3 linked regions of the Diceros bicornis minor genome follow. The protein of the gene in region 1 interacts with the protein of each later gene in a pairwise test. Links are inferred from orthologs where the notes say so. Each region holds a gene or a part of one and is shown in the gene's direction. Other genes may lie near its edges.

Region 1 (7,610 bases):
GTCTATCCTACATTCAAGGGGAGGGGATTATACAAAGGCTTGAATACCAGGAGGTAGGAATCATGAAGGCCATCGTAGAGGCTGCCTACCACAGGGTTTTCTAGCTACACCCTTGCCTTGAACTTTACCTAAGGCCATATTTAGGCATCCAGGCCTAAGGCATCCTGGATTTGACCCTTGCCCCTAAGCCATTTCTTAATTTGAGAGTTTTTCCTCTGGAGAAGCTAGAAATGAGCAATAGTTTTATTTCAAATCCAGCAAGTCCTGGCTTCTTTATGTTTCCTCTAAATTCTGATTGAAAACAGAACAGTTCATTTTTTTTTTTTTTTAGCTCATCTCACTTGTCTCGTACTATACCATAAGCATCTAAAAGAAACCACTCAACTCTTTCAACATTGTATCCAAAAATCTCCTTAGCCAGATGCGCATGTTCATTAGGCATCTTTTCTATCTTTCATGGAACAGCAGGCTAGTTTAGCTCATTGTTCTTCCAATACATAAATGGGGTCCCGTTTTCTCCAGCCTGCAATAACAACACTCGCACTGTCCTTTCATAATGCTCTTCATTCACAGACTCCTCAAAGTTCCTCCAGTTTCCATCCTCTACCTGATCCCAAAGCCACTGCCATATGTTTTAGGTTTCTGTGACAGCAGGACCACACTTCTTGGCACGTAATTATGTTTCAGTTATCTATGGCTGTATAACACACCACCCTAAAACTGAGTGCCTTAAAACAACAGCATTCACTTTTATGCTAACAATTTTGCCATTTGGGCGCCACTCAGTGAAGACAGCTCATCTCTCTTCCATGTGGTGTCAGCTAGGGCAGCTCAACTAGAGCTCGGGTATCCACTTCCAAGAAAACTCATTCACAAGGCTGGCAATTGGTACCGGCTGTCCACTGAGAGCTCAGCTGGGGCCGTAAGCCGGGGACTTAATTCTCTTCCACATGGGCCTCTCCATGTGGCTGTGTGGGCTTCCACAAATGATTGGAGGGAAGTGATTGAATCTCAGAACTATTTAGGAGGTAAAAATCAGGAGGACGTTGCATAACAATGTGAATATACTTCACACTACTGCACTGCACACTTAAAAGTGGTTAAGACGGTAAATACTATGTTGTGTGTTTTTTAGCCACAGTTAAAAATTAATAAATAAAATCAGGAGAAGATGGTGATGGCCTGGAGGTGGGTGGGAGTGGGGTGAGGGAGTGAGAAGTGCTAAGGATAACAAAGACTAATAAAACACAGCCTCTGGCCTCAAGAACTTTTTCGGTCCAGCAGAGGATGTAGAAGAGTTAACAATCACAACACGTGGTAGATACTGCAGCTTTCTGCCTCAGTGCTAACATAGGTACAGAGCACAAGCCATGCAAATTGCCTCAGAATAGACCTTTAATGCCTGCACTTCCCAGAGACAAACATTTAAGACATAATTGTAGGTTTGTATTTCTCAAAGCAAGCCTCAAAATGAACACTGCCAGAGGAACAGAGATGAATAAGGAAAACTACACGTGCAGACAATATTTCCCTTTCAACCTAGCATGTAACCTGATAAGCCAGAAGCAATGTGGCAAAATGGTGGGCAGGGGAGGAAGCAGATTTCTTGGTCATTAGCCCTATTTTTCTAGGACATAAAATCCCTTTGTTGTTTTATAACTCTTAGTAGGCCTGAAAACGATTGCTACTGAGATCTCACTTTTGAAACTTTCTTTCTCTGAAGTAGTAAACAGGTCATAAAGATCATTACAACCTGAATGAATGTACACTCCCCCCACCCCCAACACAGTCAAACTCTTTCCCCTCACTCACAAAGTTTTATAAATAGCTAAAGTCTATGTACAGATTTTCATTGAGTTTTGTTGGCAACATGACTTTATTGTTCTTCCAAATAAGTCTAAACCATTCTTCATGGAAAGGACAAAATAGGAGTCCTTCTTTTCCTGGTGTATTACCCCAGCCCCATACACTTTTCTGAAAACACCCTGAATTTCAAGCTTGCCACTGACTATATGTTCTAGGTTTCCCTGCTTTATCATCAGCTACCTGATGTAGCCCCATTCTGTGCAAGCTCTCTATCTAGGGTCTCCCCCCTGCAAAATAATGACTAAAGACCACTACCATGAATCTGCCTAGTGCCCCTGTGGTGGCTCTCCACACTAAGATGCCTCTACTAATTCAGTCCCTCCTGCAGGGTCTTGGAAGGATCTGATAATGTCATTCAAGCCCAAGAATAAATAACTGATAAGACTCAGTGGATTCATTCACTCACAATTATCGAGTGCCAACTGTGCATTAGGCACTGTCTAGATGTTGGGAACACAATGAACAAACTAGACAAGGATCCTCTCATGGAATTTATTCTCATTTTTTATCCCAGGGGTTTTTGACTTTTAACAAGGACACAGTGCCAGCTTGGCTTAAAGACAAAGGAATCAGGTCCTACCTTTGGGATTAAGCCACATTTCCCTGGGTGGGGGTAGGGGAGGTTCTCTCGCTACCCTGGAATCACACAACATCTCCCACCTACTCATGAGTGGAGTCTGACTGGAACCATCAATGACTAGATCAATTGTCACTTTTCTTGGGCCTTGGCCAGGCTCCAGCAAGACAATGCCTTTCTGTGGAGTGTCTTCAGGAACAGGCAAGAATGGCCAAGGAGGGCAAAGTGCTGGCATTACTGGTCAGTGTAGGGGCCCAAGACCACCACTCAGCCACTGCTCAAGAAGACATTGCCCCCTCGTGGTTCCTCATATAACTGAGGGAGGACCTGGCAGTGGAAAGGGTTGTCCAAGTTTCCGGATTAATTGTAGCCCTCACCTCTTCTGAACTTCAATCGCAATTTCAATAGACTCTTGGTTTATTTTCATCCAGGATACATCTTTTTTTTTTTTTCCCATAGAAAGAAATGACATCATGACAGCAATTAAAGCTCTTTATCAAAATCTTCAGACCCCCCCCCTGAAAAACTCAACATGTAAATCTACATATCACTAACTGATTTTCTCTTCACAATGCTCTTAAAGCAAATATTTTCTTTGCTTTCCACAATTTGAGCCAGGATCTGCGATTATGTTGCCCTGGAGCTGTTTTGGGTATCCTGTCTCCACACCACTTTAAACTCCCTAAAAGCAGGGGCCTTATCTTCAATGCCCACCTCCACCCCCACCCCATTTCCAGCAGCACTTAAACCAGTATAGGGTAAAGAATGTCTAGTGGGGGGAGGGGGGGAAGAGACAAATAGTGAAGCAAGCAAATAAATAAATAGAAATTGTGACTGGTGCTGTGCGGGAAAGGAACAGCATGCTGTGACAGAATTCCTACGAGTGGGAAGTGAGGAAGAACCTACTGATGTACAGAGTTTCAAATTTATGTTTGTACCAGTCATATTGGAAAGCTTAAATGATACAGTCCTGGAAAAGCTCTCTACGGCTCAGGAAAATTTCCTTAATAAAAATGTTAGCCTCCAAGTATTGTAACCTTAAACTGGGCAAGAATGGGTGCTAGGTGCTATAGCGCTATCAACCTATAATCTCCTCTAATAGCAAACCCCTGGAGATAAATAGAACTACTCCCATTCCACAGGTGAGGAAACGGAAACCATGCACTCCTTCCGAGGTTGGTGCATAAACGAGTGTTGTGCGCTGACCTCCCAGAGGTCAGCTGAGACCCCCTTCTCCTCTAAGATGCTTTGACCCTCTGAAGATCACCTGTATTGGCCTCCAGTTCGGCTTGCAGTGACGAATATTCCCTTACCCAACAGATATTTATTGAGTGCCTACTATATACCAGGTAGCGTATTTAAAAAGCCGTGGGATTAAAAAGATAAACAGGGCACGGTCTTGTCTTCCAGGAAGGATCTCCCAGAAAAGTGAGGAAGACAGCCAGGTCAACAAATAACTCCAGAACAGTTTGATACGGGCTGTGAGAGGAGTCTGAACGGGCGCCACGGGAAGCCTAGCGGAGAGCCACAGCCGGCCGGTGGGGAGGCTGGAGAGGTTTCGGAGGACCCGGCGTTCGAGGTGGGTTTGATGCTGTGCCCTGAAAACGCCGGCCCGGAGCTGGCTGCCCCCGGACGTCACCGAGTTCTCGCCATCCTGTCATTTCAAGTTGCCCACTAGGAAGGGAAGAAATGGGTCTAAAGCGGTACAGAAAAGGAGAGGTAGGCTTAGGGATGGGGGTGCAAATCCCTCGTGAAAAGCAGGCAAACAAAAGTAGCACATCACACGTCCCGGTGGTCGCGCTGGCGGGGCCCGGCTCTCCGAAGCCCCTCTCCCGGCTCGCGCGCACCGCCACGCGAGTTGTCCAACTCGGCCCCCAGGGGCCCAGCGAGCCGGAGGACCTGACCTCCTTCCCTCCCCCTGCCCGGCCCCCGCCCTCCGACCTACCGCCGAGTCCGGGGCCAGGGTCGGCGGCTTCCGCCCGCGGCCCGCCGCCCCTCCCCGGCGCGCGCCATCCGGCCGCGGGGCAGCCGCCCTCGGCGCGGCCCCTCCTCCCGCGGGGGGCTTCGCCGTCCCGCGTCCCGTCCCTCGGCGAGAGCCTGCAGCCCACGTCCAGGGAGGGCGGAGGGAGGAGGAGGAGGAGAGGGAGGAGAGAGGGGAGGGAGGAAGGCGAGAGAAAGGGAGCTGCTTGGATCCCGTACTTCCCAGAGCCTGCCAGGAGCGCGCACTCAGCGGCTCTCCGGGTCCCAGCGTCCCAGCCGCGGCCCGCGCCCCGCTGCCCCGCACCTCCTCCTCCTCCTCCGCCTCCTCCTCCTCTCCCGGCACCCCTCGCCCCCTCCCTCCAGCTACGCTCGGGCAGCAGCCGCCCCCGGCCCCTACTCGGCCACATCCCCAACTCTCCGGGCTCAGTCCCGGGACGCGCGTCCTCGCCCCATCCTTTCCTGCTTCCTTCCTTCCCTCGCGCCCGCCCTCCCTCTCCAGGTCTCCCTCCCGGGTCCCGATTGTCTCCGTCCCCTTCTCGGTCCGCCCGCGCCCGCCTCGCCCTGCCCCGTCTCTCTCCCTCGCACTTCCTGAGTCGCCCGCCGCCGCCGCCGCCGTCTCGCCGCGCCGCGGGAGCCCGAGCCCGAGCCGCCGCTGCCCCGGCTGCAGCCCCCGTAGCCCGCGGCGCCCGCCGAGGGAGCCCCGGCGCCCGGGGAGGGAAAAGTGGGCGAGCGCGCCTCGCCCAGCCCCGCGCCCCAGCCCTGCCCGGCGAGGAAGGACCGGGAAGATGAACAACGGCGGCAAAGCCGAGAAGGAGAACACCCCGAACGAGGCCAACCTTCAGGAGGAAGAGGTACTGAGTGGCTCGGTGCGGTGGCGGGGACGACCGGGGACGGAAGCCGCGGGCTTTCTCCAGAGTGCGGGGGCCGGCGGGAGAGCCGGTCCCGGGGCGCCCGGCTGCGCGCCGGGGAGGGGGCGCCGCAGCCGAGGGTCTGGGCAGGTCCTTGCCCCGAGACAGAGCCCTAAACTGTGGCCCCGGAGGGTGTATCTCCGGGGAGGGTGTTTTTGTGGGTCCACGCGCGTCTGCGTGCCTAAAATTGCGTAACTTGGAAGACTTTTCGGAGAGTTTTGTAAGTAGAACGCTCAGCTTTGTTTGCCTGGAATTTTAAAAGCGGAATCGAGAGCTGACTCCTGGGTGACCTCAGATTATTGGGACCCGGAGGGTCAGGACTTAGTTCTGCGTCTAGGGCTGGAAGTCGTGGGGTGCGTTGGTGTTTGTGTAGTTTAAGGAAGAAACTAGGGGAAAGTTCTCGTTAAGAGACACCTTTTCTTCCCTGCCCCCTCCCTTTCGGTGTTAAAAGTTCTTGGTGAAATGTCTTTCCAGTTGAGGCATTTTGGATTAATAGATAACTAATCAGCCGCATTCTTCTCTGATGAGTCAAAGACCCCGAACCTGGGTAATTTAGGTTTTGTAAATTTAGGGGCGATGCGGTTGTGGGGAGCAGAATAAAAGTTTAAAACTTACAGTTACCCCTTACAAATGATCATCGAGACTATTTAATAGGACTTTGACTTCTGAGCGTAAATTTAATGTGGTGCGTCCGTAATTGCGGTAAAAATGTTGCGGCTGTGGATTGTTCCTTTGGTAGAAAAACAAAATTCAGTAAATGTAGGGGAGAACTCCTGAACAAACGTTTCAGGATTTTGTAGTTAGGATATTTTGTGGTATCCTATTAAATGGCTCTGTTCCTGCAGGTACGTTATATGGAGTCCAAGAAACAATACTTTTCGCCCACTTTTTAAGATTCCACACTAGCTGAGTTCTTAAACATTCTAAAAGAAACTTGAGAGTGTGTGGATGCAAGAAAGTATGCATCCAGATGTGACCTATAAAGCATTCTTACAGGTACTGCATCCTCGTGTATAAGGTTAACAGAATGATAAACTGATTCTGAAGCTGTTAGGATGTTGAGATTATTATTGAGATATTGTGTGCAAACTAATATTCAGATAGCGAAAGCAAACCTTGCAGAGGATTTAATTAATGCATATAAGCTCTCAGCATGTTGTCCACTTGTAAAATGGGAACTATGTAAATGGGGAAGATAGAGGAGAGAGCAAAGACTATGCAAAACAATGCAAAATAAATAACAAGATTTTCCTCTTAACACAGTTTTGTGGTAGTGCAACCTAGGTGAATTGCAGTAAACAGAAAATTGCCTTTTCACCTGAAGAAATTGCCCATTTTATTATAAACTATTATTTTGAAAAGTGTTGTTTACATGCGAATGGTTTTTTAACTACAAGTGAAGGAATACCACTGACATTTTTTTGTTTTTCAAAGAGATGGACACTTGAATTGCAAGTTCCACTTTTTTCTTGAACCTTACTGGTTGCTTTGCTATTTATTTTCCCTACCACTGAAATAAAACTTAAAAAATGATGACAAGTTTGCTTTTTTAAGGAGTTGCTATATTTAACAAATTTATTTAACACACCAAGATAATAATTGCTTCAGAAACCTTTCTATTTCACTTAGAATGGCAATTTTTCTTTCTAAGGGTAAGAATATATTGCATGAAATCATCTTTTTTCTCAGTTCTCCCAACTGAGAAAGCTTGTAAATGGAAAAGTTAATTAGGCAAACCAAAGACTTTTTTTTTTCTTTTGATAGGTAGTAAAAGAGGTTTGAGTGTCCCAAAACCATAACTTAGTTAACTTGATAAAAGTAAGTGGAGAAAAGTCATCTTTTTCTGCTTGACTCAGCTCAGCCTGACTGCTGCCAGGTCGGAGGTGTTGTCTGCTCTGTTCCTGGGACCTTAACTTAATGTGGGAGGTTGTGTACGAGTAGAATCACTGGCCATCTCAGGACAGTTCACTGCCTCTTCCCTGCCCTGTTGCCCTGACAGTGTTCCTTTTCAGGTGGGAATGGCGTGTGGCTCTAGGAAGTATCAGTAGTTTTAGCAAGACACTTGTTATTTTAAAAATAAGAGGACAGATTTCAGAATGTAAGTTGTAGAAGAGGTGGAGTGTACAAAACAGATAAACCGTGAAGAGAGAGGATTTATAGTGTTAAAAATTCAGGAAAAGAAAGTACGTTGGCCTGACCGATCCAGGTAATTTTGTCCTAATTCCCTGTTTGGGATTTATGTTTTGTTTTTGAAAAACTCCTAACCTCTTTTTTCTAAC
Region 2 (7,216 bases), on another chromosome or scaffold:
TCCTCATGTGAGTTAAGTCTATATCCCTCAGAGGAGAAAGATTAATTTCCTGGCATTGCCTAACACTATTTCTAATGTTGTAGTTGATTTAAAGAAAAAAAAAATTGGATGACTGGATCTTGATGTTAACTAATGACTAATATCAATCAGCAACGGTTCACTTGATTACTACTTCCTTTACTTAGCACCTATGTTAACTGAGACCTTATATATGGGTTTGGTGCCTGTGTCGACAATTAAATTATGTACAAAGATCTCTATTTCTGATTTGTTGTCTTAGAAAGATAGGTTGTTAATCAGGGGAGGTACAATGACTGGATGTAAAGATGGTTCAGGGTAACTTAGCACCACAACTGGAAAAAGCACCTATCCTACCTTATAATCTTGGTGCTGACACTCATATCCCAGAGTCACGAAAAGTTCAAATTAATATGTCAGGCAGAAAGCATCAAACCAGGGTCTGTGAATTGGAATAAACATATTTACTATAAGCATGAAACAGGCATCCCTACTCCCATACTTCTGAAAGAGTTTTGAGATATCATTTAGATTGGAGAGTCACCAGATTAAAGGAGGGTCCTTAGGTCCCAAGCTGTGTCCTGTAGACCACTAATTCTATACACATGCAAGTAGTTATCATGTTTTCCGTGGATGGATCTGTGTCATCACTGCCAGACATGGAGGGAGGAAGCTCCAACACATTGAAAACAAACCAGAATACCACACAATCCTCTTTTATATGAAACTATTCACCTTTCGTTTCTTTTATTACGACTAAATTGGATTTTAAACATTTACATGGACTTATTGCTTTTCTTTCCTTTTGGGGATTTATATTTTACAGAAGGTATGTGAAGATAACTTTATTCCAAAAAGCTGGCATTTCATATGGGAAAAAACACATTTACATGGTATCCAAACTATATATCCCTTCCAATTTTTATTGACAACGTTTTCTTCCTACGTCCCAAGGTCAGTATTATTTATCTTCCTGGTGTTTGCAGAGCTCCCCAGAAGGGAGCTAACTCTCCCTTACTAACAAGTATTTTCCACTTTTGGCTTCTTTTTAGCCAAAAACATCTCTATATCACTTAACTTCATTCTTCCTATTCATTTGGACCACCTTTTCCCATAAACTTGCAAATAAATTTATAGCAAACACTAATTTGGGATACATTCCTGAAAAAGAATTCTAGCTGGTAAAGATGTTTTAGATCTTCTGTTCTAAGAGCCTTAAGAAATAAAGTTAAAGGCCATTCCTTTAATTTTACACGCAGAGAACATAGTTTTCATAGCATTTGAAAAATACACCTATTAATAGACTTTGGATAAAAAAGATTTAGAGGGAATCTGACCAAAAGGACATACAATGTAAATACTGGAAGGGTCTTTACATAACACTGCCTTCATCTAAAGCAAGGGTCTATGGCCCGACTCTAATGCCTATTGAGAAGCCTTTGTCTATCTGGTTTTCTTTCTACTTGGGGTAGGAAAAAACCTAGAAATGTAAAACAGCCCTTCGGACTACTTCCACGAACTATCTTTCGCACCTCACAAGATAACATCTCCACCTAGTGATGTGTTAAGAATCCTACAGCAACTCCTAGAAATTGTTTAGTTGTTTGAATTTTTCAGACTAACACGTCTAACACAATTTCAGCTAGTTTAATCTTAAACACGTGTATTTAGAATTAATTACTGACAATTGAGACAGCACCAACACGAAAATAAAGAAATGTGGGGAATCTTTTTCCGGAGAAATAAAAGAGCAGCCACTAATAGTAATCAATATGATACAGGTAGAAAATTGACATGTCAAAAATACCAAGTATGTACCGTCATCCCCTCTTATCTGTGGTTTCACTTTCCAAGGTTTCAGTTACCCAGGGTCAACCTCTGTCTGGAAGCAGATGATCCTCTTTCTGAAGTATGGTCAAAAGGTCAATAGTAGCCTAACGCCAGGTCACAATGCCTACGTTATTCACCTTACTTCGTCTCATGCCATAGCCATTGTATCATCTCACAGCATCACAAGAAGAAGAAGGGTGAGTACAGTACAATAAGATATTTTGAGAGAGAGAGACCACATTCACATGACTTTTATTACAGTCTATTACTATAATCGTTCTATTTTATTATTTGTTATCATTGTTAATCTCTTACTGTGCCTAATTTATAAATTAAGTATATATAGAGTTTGTTACTATCTGTGGTTTCAGGCATCTACTGGGGGGTCTCAGAACATATCCCCCAAGGAAAAGGGGGGTTACCAGATGTACATTCTATCAGTCTAAATTTTCTAGTTGCTTTATTTTGCAGGTATGCAGCCTATATAAATGAGATTGGTATTCATTAACTGACTGAAGGGCAGGGAGTTTAGGAAAGAATCTTTGTTGAGCTTCCACTGTGCATTGGGTATTATGCCACTTGCTTCTGGACACATTTTGAGACAGTATAGCATAGTGGTTATGTCTGCAGGGTGTAGAGCTAAACTGGGCAACTTACTTGCTGTATGACCTTGAGCAAAATACTTAAGCTCTCTGTGCCTCGGTTTCCCAATCTATAACATGGGGCTCCATGGGCTAATACCTTTGACAAAGTTACTGTGAGAATTATGTGAACTAATACATGAAAATACCTTAGAATTGTTTCTGGCACACAAAAGGGCTCAGCATTTGTTAACATTACTATTTATTATTTAATTCCCACAATCCCCATTTTAAACTGGAGCTCAGAGAAATTAAGCAATTTGCTCAAGGTGTCACACCACAAAATGGTGACATGGGGATTTGAGCACAGATCTGTCTGACTCCAAAGTCCTTGCTAATTCCCCACTGTTGGAGTGTGTGTGTGTGTATATATATATGTTATATATATTTATGTATACACACACAGAGTTGATTTATTTATTTTTTTGTGAGGAAGATCAGCCCTGAGCTAACATCCATGCCAATCCTCCTCTTTTTGCTGAGGAAGACTGGCCCTGAGCTAACATCCATGCCCATCTTCCTCCACTTTAAGTGGGATGCGGCCACAGCATGGCCTGACAAACGGTGCGTCGGTCGGCCACCAGGATCCGAACCCAGGCTTCCAGCAGCTGCACACCAACTTACCCGCTATGCCACGGGGGCTGGCGCCCAGAGTTGATTTATTAATAAAGAAAATTTAAGACATTCATTAGTACCTTGAACATATGGAGACAACGAACTGATATCACGAGTTAGTATGGAAGAAAGCAGAGCCCTGAGGTTGGGAAGTAGGGGACCTGCATTAGGTAGATTATTCACGACGTCAAGTTTCCGGTTTGTTAAGGGAGAAACTACACGATCTTTCCAGTTCCAATATTCTACGGGTCTATGAATCTACAAAGCTGGTTCCAAAAGCTAATTTTTTTCTTTCTTTGTCTGCCATTTCAACCCAAGCTCTATTTTTATAGAAAGCAAAACTCAGCGTATGTATGCAAAATGCCACACAGCCGTATCCGTGAAAATTTGTTTTACACAAGCATAGAACCCGGTTCTTCAGCTCCAACACCTACAAATCTCTCCTCAAACTGATTAGTGGTCAAGTCAGGCCTATTATTAGGTCTCTCGATTCAGCCCATTCTCCTAGGCATTTAAACCATTTAACCTTTATTTGTCTAGTCCTATTTGCAAATCCATTTCTTAGCCATATACCTTCCCACCCTCCACCTCCCAAGTCCTTATTAAAGAAAGGTCCATAGTTAGTATACGGGGTCAAACTAGCAGTTAAGAGTTGAAAACTCCGTTAAACGAGGGAAAGATCCTTACAACGCATCTACATTTTCCCCAAGTAAGAGAAGTACGGAAGTTCAAACCACAGCCCTTGCGTTTACACCCCTTAACAAAACACGCAGGATTTCGTTTTGGTATCGCTCCCGGTCCACCCACCCCCTAAAACCGCTCTCTCGCCCCAATTGGCTAAAGTGTCAGTCACTCCAAGTACTTTTACTCCCCTCCCAAGAGCCTCCTTCAGATTTAAACCTTGATCCCGCCCACTCCCCTCTCGCTCCTCCCCGCGGCCGGTCACTGATTGGTCGAGGCGCCACTCCTCGTGGGGCTGCTAGGCCACCGCGCGCGGCGCCCCCTGGGAGCCGAGCCCAGGCGCGAGGACGGCGCGAGCTGTTCCCCGTGCGCTCCCCTCCCCCCTGCGGCGTCCCCGCTCCGACGGACTGGTCCCCGAAACGGTGGCGGCGGTTTGTGGTCGTTGGTCCCAGGGATTTAGGACCAACATTTGAAGACCCGAAGGGGTGAGGAGGGGTTGGGGGCAGCGGGGTCACTGCCAAACCGCTGGTAACGGTTGGAGACCTTGCCTCCTGGCCGCGAAAAGCCTCGTCGACTCACTCTCACGCCAAATCCGCAGCGAGGACCCACGCCCGCTGGAGGCGGTGTCCGCGCGTTCGCGCTCCTCCTTCCCCAGCCCCGTCGAGCTGCGGGCGGGCAGGTGTCACAGGCGCGGCTGCCCAGCCTCACGGGGCATCTTTCGACCGGACAGCTCCTGCCGCCCCCCTCGCGCCGCGTGGTCCCGCCGTCTGTCCCCACCTCCCCGTCTCGTCGGGGCCCCTCGGTGGCTCCTTCCGCCCCGGGGCGCCCTGCCCTCTCTCCGCCTCGTTTCCGCTCTCCCCCGCCGCCTTCCGGACGCTTCCCACCTGCTGCCCTCCATGTTCTCCCCCTAACTCTTTTCCTCCGGCGACCGCCACAGCTGAAGGCCGCCCGCCGTCCCTCCCGGCCGGCCGTTGTCGCGCCGGCGCGTCCGCTCCAGAGGCTTTGGGACGGCGTCCGGGCGTCCCGACTGCCGGGTGAGATTTGGCAATCACGTCGTGGTTTGCATTGAGTTCTAATAGGATGAGCCTCGAAGTTTCCTCTGTCCTCTGCTTTTGACTCTTGTTTCTTCCCAAGTGCTCTCTCGCGTGTCCGGTTTGAACGGCGGAAGGCTGCGAGTGTGCGGGAAAGATAACTGACCCCTCGCACCCGCGACACGGGACGGGCAGCCATGGATGGTAATACACGCGAGGGTCCTATCTTTGTTTCCTAACATCAGCTAGTTTTAATTACTAACTTTTAAAACATTTTCTTTGGGGCGCTGGAAAGACCGCTGAACCTGGGGTCAGGAGACCTCAGATTTAATCCTGGCGTCGATATTAACTGAGATCCTTGTGAAGCCCCTTGATGTATTTGGGCACCGGTTTCCTCATATGTGTATTTAATTTAGCTAATGTTGAAGTTTCTTTAAGCTCTCTTTACAGTCTTGATAAATAACGTTATAGCCTTTATAATATATGGTGATTCTAAAATAGGCCACTATCGTAGAGGGAGTATCAGCAGGAGCTTTCTAAGACGTGGCTTCTCTTACAAATCCGTCCCACTTTGTGTTTGAGGATGGTGTTAGAACCAGGAAGCAGGATGTATTACCTGTATAAGAAGACTAACATATAAATAACATATTCATCTGTCGGTAGAATTTTGCTTCTTTTAAATAAAGGAAGATATTTTCGTTTAAGAATCACTACAGTGTATAGTTGAGTTGGCCAAACTTCCATTTGGAGCCTTTCAGAATTAAAGCTCCTTATGGGCTCTAATGATAGACTCCTTTCCAGGGTACACATTTAAAACATTCTATTTTAAAATTGTTTTGGGGTTGGGCCTGGTGGTGCAAGCGGTTAAGTGTGCGCGCTCTGCTGCGGTGGCCCAGTGGTTGGCTGGTTCAGACCCCAGGCACGCACCGCCACACTGCTTGAGCCATGCTGTGGCAGCGTCCCATATAAAGTGGAGGAAGATGGGCACGATGTTAGCTGAGGGCCAATCTTCCTCAGAAAAATAAATAAATAAAATTATTTTGTGTGCAACTATGTGCTGTTATAGACATAAGAAGGACTATTAGTGCTGCAATTACTAAATATTAGCAATGCCTTACTTTCTGCTTAAGGCATTGCTTTAGTTGCTGATTTTCACTTAAGAGGGTGGAGTATTGGACTTGAACATAATTGCCAAAGTATAATACATGTGAACAGTTGAAATATAATCATGCATATTACTGGATATATTATGGAGTAAGAATTATCAACAACAAGAATAAGCCTAATTTGTGGACTGAAATTAAGCCTCATGTTTTTAATGGTGGCATTTTTGTTGTTAGGAAACTTAGACATGTGGGTTTAAGGAGGGTTTGTGACTAGAAATCAAATAATTGGTGTAAAATCTGTCCAGATTTGCATATAAATGCTGAGTGTTGTTTCCCATTTTATTTTACTACCTGACGGTTGGTGAAGCAAGAAAATGAGGGAAGAAAATGTGATCTTTATGTTCAAATTGTCACAGATTTCACATGACAGGTTATAGAAGACCTTATGTAAGGAATAGTGTACTATTTGGTGGTAGTGTACAAGAATTTTGGTTCTGTTGTAGATATCTTTATCCTAAGTTCTAAGAATGTGTTACACTTTTGTGTTCAAAGCAATATTTAAAAAAACTTACTTACAATTATTTTTTTAAATAGTTCAAGTTTTTAAGTCTCTAAATTTGAACTTTCCCTCCACAGTATTACTACAGGTTGTGAAATACCTAATACTAAAATAAAACTTCTTATGCATTATATATTTTAACTTCTAGGAAAAAAATGAGCTCTCATTCTTTAATAAAAATAATTTAAAATGAAATTGAACTGACCCATCTATACTCTTTTATTTTGAAATAATGTTAGACTTATATATCCATATACTTTTGATTAATCCGTCTCATTTTCCAACCATGTCGCTGTAGTGCTGTCATTAAAATGAGTTACCAGTAAAAAAACCTCCGTTACCCTGGCAACCATGTCTCAGTGCACTATACTGGATAACAGCTGAACTAACAAATCAGGACTTTAATACATGTCATTTAAGGAATGCTATAAAGATCTAATGTGCTTTCTATAAAGTATTCTGATACCTTAAAAATTAATGTGTTTTCACTGTTTAGTTTTTAAAAAGTGTAGTAAAACTAATAAAATGTTCATTTTCAGAACTTCATAAATTTTTCCAGTAATTCAGAAGATAGTTTCAATTTAAGTAGTTTGAACACAGCTGACACAAACTCCTTTAGATAAATGATTAATTTTCATTTATATTTTGCTAAAATTGTGCTTGTCATTTTTTTCATATATTATTTTGAAAGAGCAGTACAAATTTGAAAATTTATATTTTTTTTAGCTTATTAAG
Region 3 (7,173 bases), on another chromosome or scaffold:
AGCATGGGGCAGGTGCATGGGAAAGATGGATGTTGTAGTGGAGCTCAGGAAGAGATGAGTGAGATATCTGCTCTTTAGGAAATCACCCAGGTTGACTTTACCGAAGATCTTTTTATATTCACGGGCCAGGGTGTGGATGTCTAATTTCACTCAGCTTTTCAAGCTCTACATGGTATTAAAGCTTTCGGAGTGCTTTTACATACACCCAGAGTTCTTAAACCAGGGGTGGGGGATGCAAGAGGATGGTCTATGAGTGGATTTCAAGGGTCTGTGAGCTCCTGGAAATCATATGAAAAACTGCATGCATGTTGGATTTTTTGGGGAATAGGGGGCAAAATTGGTCACACAGATAAGTGAGAAGGAGTATTTAACCTGTCCAAGGATGGGCTTCAGCGCAGTCTGTGAATGCCTTGTTATTCATATGCAAAATGGTACAAGAGTCGACAATTTTCTGATGTAAAGAGTTGATTCCATGGCTTACATTTTCAAAGGGATAGTGACCCCCTAATAGGTTAAGAATCATTGGAATAAAGCAGGCTCCGTGTTATTTATGGGGCTAGGGAAGACTATAAATAGAGATTCCCGTTTCTTCCCACACCTGGTGTTGGCGCACACTTCAAGGTGGCTCACATACTAGCCTGCAGGTCTAAGCTCAGTCTCCATGCCCCTCACATACAGTACCTCAGGCACACAGTCCACTCTCGTGAGTATAGACCAGGACCCTGGTAGGCCCTGGAAGTGGGCCATTTGGGCCAGGAGGTCCAGGGTTCCGAGTACCCAGAGCATGGTCTAGAACTGGGGGGCACAGGTTCCAGGTGAGCACTTCCTGGATGCCCTTGGACTTCTTAGCCAGAAGACATCAGAGTGGGGCCCTCTGCCTGGGTTTAAGGCAGTGCTGCTATTCAGTACTGTTCTTGAAAACAGCCCCTGTGAGGAAGTTGAGGGTCTTGGAAGAGTTAGCTCCATATTAGGGCTGAAGAAAAAGGCCATCCACTGTGAGGATGCAGTGGAACCTAAGTTTTTTGACTTCTAGTCTAGTTCTTTTTCCACTTAATCCACAAAAGGTGTGCTATTATAGGGTCTCTATAAACCTACATTCAGCTCACTTGGCTATGACTATATCTGGTTCTTGGGTTACACAGAACAGATTTAAGGGAAGAAGGAAACGAATTCACTCTGTGGTGTCTCTTCTCTGCTATGTGTTGGATGTAATTAACTAGAAAGAGTGAACATTTGAAAGTTTATGTAAGTTTGGATAATTGGTCTTTATATAAAATGCTGTAGGGGGCTTAAGCATCTTAATTTGTGAAAGAGATGTGTTCCTGGGAAGAGTGGAATGTTCCTAGAATTGTTCTAAATTGGATCTTGTTTAAACTTGGCTTTGGGGGTACTCAACATTTAAAATAAGTGAGATAGAGGGAACATTCTTCATAAAACAAATAATCATCCCTCTAATTGGCCTATTCTGATGGTTTAATTTTAATGATAATATTTAAAGGGAATCCATGCTTGTATTGCTGTGTTGATATTTTTACATCAAGCTGGGTTGTGCTTTAAGGAGCTTATAAGGCGCTTATGGTCAAGCCTATCAGTAAGAATAAAAAATATCAGATTTCAAGCTTTGCTTAGTAGTATGAGTATCAGAAAGAACTGAGAGGCAAAAATCATACCTCCTTTTCCCACATACTTCTCTTCCAATTATGTGCTACCTATTCTCTCCCACCCACTCTACCCTCTCCCAGGATGCAGGCTGTGTCCTCATAATCTGCGGTTTCCTGGCCCCACCCCAGGGAGACAGCTGCAGGTGATTCCCACTAAGTCAGCCTGGGAAGTAGAAGGTGGACAAGGTTTCTGAGACTGGGGAGGGGAGACCTTTCAAGAACAGAGACAGTCATGAGCCAGCCCTGATGGCCTAGCAGTTAAAGTTCCGCGTGCTCTGCTTAGGTGGCCCGAGTTCGGTTCCCGGGTGCTGAACCACACCACTCATCTGTCAGTAACCATGCTGTGGTGGCGGCTCACATAGAAGAACCAGAAGAACTTACAAGTATACACAACTATGTACTGGGGCTTTAGGGGGGAGAAAAAAGGAGGAAGATTGGCAACAGATGTTAGCAAAGGGTGAATATCACCCCCCCCCAAAAAAAGAATAGAAACAGTCAGCAGTGTCCCTATCTTTCCAAGTCAAAGTGCTATTTGCTTCTGCTTCTGCTGTGACTGCTCAGTGCAAGATGGCTTGGGCTATGCAGTCAAAAATGTAGGGAGAGAGAAGGGCCTAGAGTGTCATCAGCCCAAGGGCTGAGGTGTAGAGGCCCTAGAGATACCTCTATGGAGGCAGTCTCTAAAGGGATATCCTTAGACGGGGTAAACACCAAGTGGGAGGCAAGATGGGGTTTCCCATTCTTGGGGGCTTTTGTTCACTGAATGGGGAGTCCCCTTGCCCCTTCTCCTCCCTTTTAGGTTTCCTGAAAGCCCACTGACACTCTCTGTCAACTACATTTGGTTTACAGAGGATGCTGCCCTTTGAGCAGTCTCCAGTTCTCTTGATCAATGAGCAAACCACACCAGTGGGGGAGCTGAGTCACAGGCACATGATATAGGGCTGGGAGGTGAGGGGGACTACACTCCACTGGGTGATGATGTAATCTTCCAGACCCCTGTACCTTTTCTTCTATACTTGAGGTATCTCCCTCTTGGCTTTCCCCACTTCTTCCATATCTTCAAGGATTGTGTATTTCTGTGTTGGAGGAAGGATGTTTCCCTCTGTATACATACATATCAGGGATTGGTGCTTTTATGTGTCCAGGCCAAGTATCTTTTATATGGGTGTCTAATGAGTCCCTGGGTGTGGTGGTGTGAGGAATTAGAAAGCTCAGAAATGGAAAATATTTAACGTTCAGAGAAGCAAATGATTAAAGCTTGCCCATTTGCATTTTCCCTTTCACTCTGACTCATCTTCCCCTCTCCCCACCCTATTATTGCCCCTCCACCAGCCCCACCCATTGGCACACCCTGTCTGATCTAGGAAGGGTTAACTTCTGCCTGCACCCAAGCTAGAATGAGAGGTAGAGGGAAGGCATGTTAGGTCTGGAGGGAGAGAGTAGAAGGCTGGTCTGAACATTTTGGGGTCCTGGAGCCAAAGGGAGAAGCAGGAGTTTAGAGACATAATATTTGAGTCTAGGAGGGGACCAGAATCTAAGGGAGAAGCCTAGGGGGAGCCAGACCATGTCTCGTCATCAGAGCAGCCTACCCGTGCCTGACTTGTATATCTTCCAGTTATTTATTTGGCATATATGACATGCCAGGCACTTATCATGAGTGATTTATCAACACTTGTTGAATGAATGAAAAATTTGCCACAGGATGAGGGATAATGGAATAACAAGAAACAGAAAAAGAAATTTGAGTCTCTCAGACCTCATCCTTTCCCCAGGTTAAAGAGTGGTAAAGTGTGAAAAGAGGGGAAATCTCCAAGGACCTTGACCCCTTGGGCAGGAAGTGAAAGAAACCCTGGAGTCCTGATTTCAGAGAAATGTCATTTGTCATCAACTCAAGAAAAGGAGTTTTTCTCTTCGAAGACCACCGCAAGCCCTTCCTGGGGTTGCCCCCTTCAGCGCTTGATGGGAGGATCTGAGTCACTCACACATGCAGTCCCCAATGGTGGCCCAGATGACAGGGGTCATTCCCACATAGCTGTCAAGGCTTGGTAGTACTAAGTCAGGCATGCTTTCGGCCCTCCTTCACTCTCTTCTTGGAATCTAGATGCTTCAGTCCTTTTTACTTCTCAGGTAGTAGAAACAGCTTCCAGCTGCTAGAGCTCTAATGACACCTCTAAGAAACAGAACTAATACTATTTGAATGACGCTGTGTACTGATAAACCACTTTCACATTCATCATGTCATTTCATCCTCACTTCCACCTCCAAGTGAGGTAAGCAGAGGTTATCCCTATTTCATGGACGAGGTAACGGAGGCTCAGAGAGGTGACTTGCCCAAGGTGATTCAGCTAGAAAATGGTCGAGATGAAACTCAAGTGAGGTCTGATTAGTCCAAAGTTCTTGTTGCCTCAGTTACACTTCTTTGACTGGAGAAGTTCACAAATGAAATAAAGACAGGTCAGGAGGCAATGCCTGGATTCTGGAAGTAGAGGGGGTGGTCTCTCCTGGAGGGGTGAAGCAGAGCCGGGAGTATAAAACCACACCCCCTTGGGGGACTGTGGCAGACTGATACTTGGGACACCCAATGGAAGACTGTGAGGTCAGAGGCGGGGCTAGCTCCAGCGGGGGGGCCCCAGGAGCCCCAACAGCAGTTCAGAGCATGCGGTGTCCAGGAGGAAGCTACAACCGGTGAGTGGTTGCTTCTCCCCAGCTGAGACTTTCCTCCCTTACCCCCCTTTCTGTCCACTTCCTGCCAACCTGTAGCCCTCTTCCTGAGGTGTCCAAGTAGTAATCCTCCCTCCCAGAAGCGTCCTTACTCACAGTGCACCCACACCTAGGAATATGCCTGCTGGGCACAGAGACACTTGGGTCTGTCTCTTGGTAACTGGGTTCCCAGTTCTCTTCTTAAAAGCCAATGTGGTGGTTTTGATGTGTGATAAACTTCTGCCTCGTTAGCTGCTGTCTTTCTATTCTTCACTTTTGGCTCATGAAAAACAAAATTAAACCATCTCCTTATCCTAATATTGAGAGGAAATAGCCTCCTGCTCTACAGTTCCCATGTCCCTTTCTCCTGCTTCCTTGGCAGTCAAAGTCTTCTCCAAAACTTCTCTCCATCCTTAGGTCGGGAGCCTTCTCTCCTGTGGCTTCTGCACCTGCTCTCTTAACTCACTGGATGGGAGTCTTTGGTCTCTTCCAGCTCCTTCTCTGAGAATGTGTTCTAGAAGCTTCAGCCTCAGGGAGATGATCGATTGATGCCTTAGAGCCTGCCCTCCTGCAACTACGACCCTGTCTTGCTGCCCTTTCTGCCTCTCAGGACCCTCAGCTCCACGTGATGGGCTTGTGGGAAGAGGACACTACTAGCTTTCTAAACTCTCCCATGAAGCTGCGTCTTGCTCCAACCCTAGTTGCCTGGGCTGGGTTTTATGGTGATCTCTGTGTCTGGAATGAAGAAAGCCTGGCCTGCTCAGAGTTTTCCCTGCAGAGGGGCTTGGAGAAGAAGTATCAGCATCTGCTATCCTTTAAGTCAGAGACTGCCAATTGGCAGGACCCATTTATACTAGTCTTAAACCCACTACTTGATATAGTTGTTAACTGCCTTGTCCTTGCTCTTTAAGTCCTGAATTTGGTCTAATTTCCATTCTCCCACCACTCCCACCCCCAACCCTGGCCCCTGTTATGATTCTGGATAAGCTCAGGTCCTCTCTTGGGTTAGTTTATTTGCTCCATTCAGGACAGAGAGCTCTGATCCAGAACCAGCAACTCACTCACTCTCCCCTTCCCTCCACAGGCTTGAGAATATGCTGTTCCTCCCTCTCCTTTCTGCCACAGACCCCACACTGTGGCCTTTCTCTCAGAACCTCTGAGATTGGTACCCAGGCAAGGCACAATGCCCCTGTCCCCAACAAGACTGCCTAGCCCCTATGGCTCTGATCGCCTGGTACGGCTAGCAGCCAGGCTCCGGCCAGCACTATGTGATACCCTGATCACCGTGGGGAGCCAGGAGTTCCCTGCCCACAGCCTGGTGCTGGCAGGTGCAAGCCAGCAGCTGGGCCGCAGGGGCCGCTGGGCTCTGGTGAAAGGCATCAGCCCTTCCACCTTTGCCCAGCTTCTATACTTTGTTTATGGAGAGAGCGTAGAGCTTCAGCCTGGGGAACTGGAACCCCTTGAGGAGGCGGCCAGGGCCTTGGGGGTACAGTCCCTGGAAGAGGCGTGCAGAAGGGTTCGAAGGGACAGGGCTAGAGAAGAGCTGGGTCCGGGACTGAAGGAACATCAGGAGGAGCCAGAGAAACCCACAAAGGGTTCTGAGAGAGGAGTAGGGGCCCTTGGAGAGAAGCAGAGACCAGAGAAATTTGTTAGAGCTGGTGGGCGAGAACAGGAAACACTGCAGAAGCACAGGCCACCAAGAGAGAGCCCTGAGATGGCAGAGGCAACGAGGGAGGGCCAGGGAGTGCAGATGAGATTCAAGGAGAAACTCAACCAATTCCCTGTTGGCCATGGGGGAGTAGATGGGAAGCAAGAAGTGATCATGTGGGTGAGGGAGACTCCAGGGGGCTCTGAGGAAAGTCTGCAGGAGTTCCCTGGCCCCCTTCCCCCACCTGCTTCCCTCCAAACCAGCGTCACCCCTAGGCCCTGGTGGGCTGAGGCCCCTTGGTTAGGGGAGGGGCAGCCTGCCCTATGGAGCATCCTGCTGTTGCCGCCCAGATATGGCACCCCCTTCCCCCATAGCACCCCCATCACTGGAACCTGGCAGGAGGTCTGGCCTCAGGACGAGAGGTGAGTGAAGGGCCTCACGGAAGACCTCCCAAGCTGGGAAGGAGTGGCTCAGGAGAGGCAGCGGTGACGGGTGGAAGGGCACCATATCTCTTATCTCTACTGTACATTTCCTGAGCTGGGGACAGGACAAGAAGCTCCCACCAAAGGGGAAGACAGAGCCCAGTCCCTGAGGAGGACTCATGACACCTCCCTCCCCAGGAAGAGATTGGCCACAATCCCAGATTTTGCCAAGGCTGTAACTCTTCCCCACCCCACCCCCAGGATGCCACTGTCCCTAAACCTCCACAAAGGGCTCTGGAGCCAGAACCAAGTGGCCTCCTCCAGCCCAACCCCAGGTAAGCCCCTCACTGCCCTGCATGAACCCTATAATGTGGTCTCTCCCCTGGGGCTGGGGGTCCAGGAATCCAGCCTGAGCAGGGCCCCTACTTCACTCTGCTCCCTCCAGGTTCCCTCCACCAGGGCCCCGCACAGCTCAGCCCTGTGGAGATGGAAGAGTCTGATCAGAGGCACACAGGTGAGGAGGGTGAGGGAGCTTTTGCCTCAGCCCCAGTGTAGCCCCTGATGGCTTGCCTGGGTGTTGCAGTGAATCCAGCTCTGGGATTCCCAGCCCTGCCCTCTTTTGCTTTCTCCGTCCCCACAGGTGCACTTGCAACTTGTGTGGGTCATATGGGCACTGCAGGCCGCCCATCTTGCCAGCACCCCCCCCTGCCCCCTCCTGCTCGGTCCAGGCCCTATTCTTGTTCTG

Evidence for each region.
Region 2: the proteins of RBPMS (region 1) and RBM46 interact in a two-hybrid assay, tested with the Homo sapiens proteins (2 studies listed by BioGRID and IntAct). The two-hybrid records come from large-scale screens. The link is inferred for Diceros bicornis minor from reciprocal best matches to the Homo sapiens genes RBPMS and RBM46.
Region 3: the proteins of RBPMS (region 1) and ZBTB32 interact in a two-hybrid assay, tested with the Homo sapiens proteins (3 studies listed by BioGRID). The two-hybrid records come from large-scale screens. The link is inferred for Diceros bicornis minor from reciprocal best matches to the Homo sapiens genes RBPMS and ZBTB32.

Annotation. Positions count from the first base shown.
Region 1 is NC_080768.1:28,063,470-28,071,079, forward strand, and holds the start of RBPMS (RNA-binding protein with multiple splicing), read left to right. Parts: upstream 1-4,591; 5' UTR 4,592-5,208; coding exon 5,209-5,274; intron 5,275-7,610.
Region 2 is NC_080750.1:42,841,497-42,848,712, forward strand, and holds the start of RBM46 (probable RNA-binding protein 46), read left to right. Parts: upstream 1-4,205; 5' UTR 4,206-4,270; intron 4,271-7,216. UniProt on the Homo sapiens protein: Essential for male and female fertility, playing a crucial role in regulating germ cell development by ensuring the proper progression of meiosis prophase I.
Region 3 is NC_080773.1:8,864,755-8,871,927, reverse strand, and holds the start of ZBTB32 (zinc finger and BTB domain-containing protein 32), read left to right. Parts: upstream 1-4,162; 5' UTR 4,163-4,343; intron 4,344-5,442; 5' UTR 5,443-5,541; coding exon 5,542-6,428; intron 6,429-6,626; coding exon 6,627-6,763; intron 6,764-6,873; coding exon 6,874-6,942; intron 6,943-7,068; coding exon 7,069-7,173. UniProt on the Homo sapiens protein: DNA-binding protein that binds to the to a 5'-TGTACAGTGT-3' core sequence. May function as a transcriptional transactivator and transcriptional repressor. Probably exerts its repressor effect by preventing GATA3 from binding to DNA.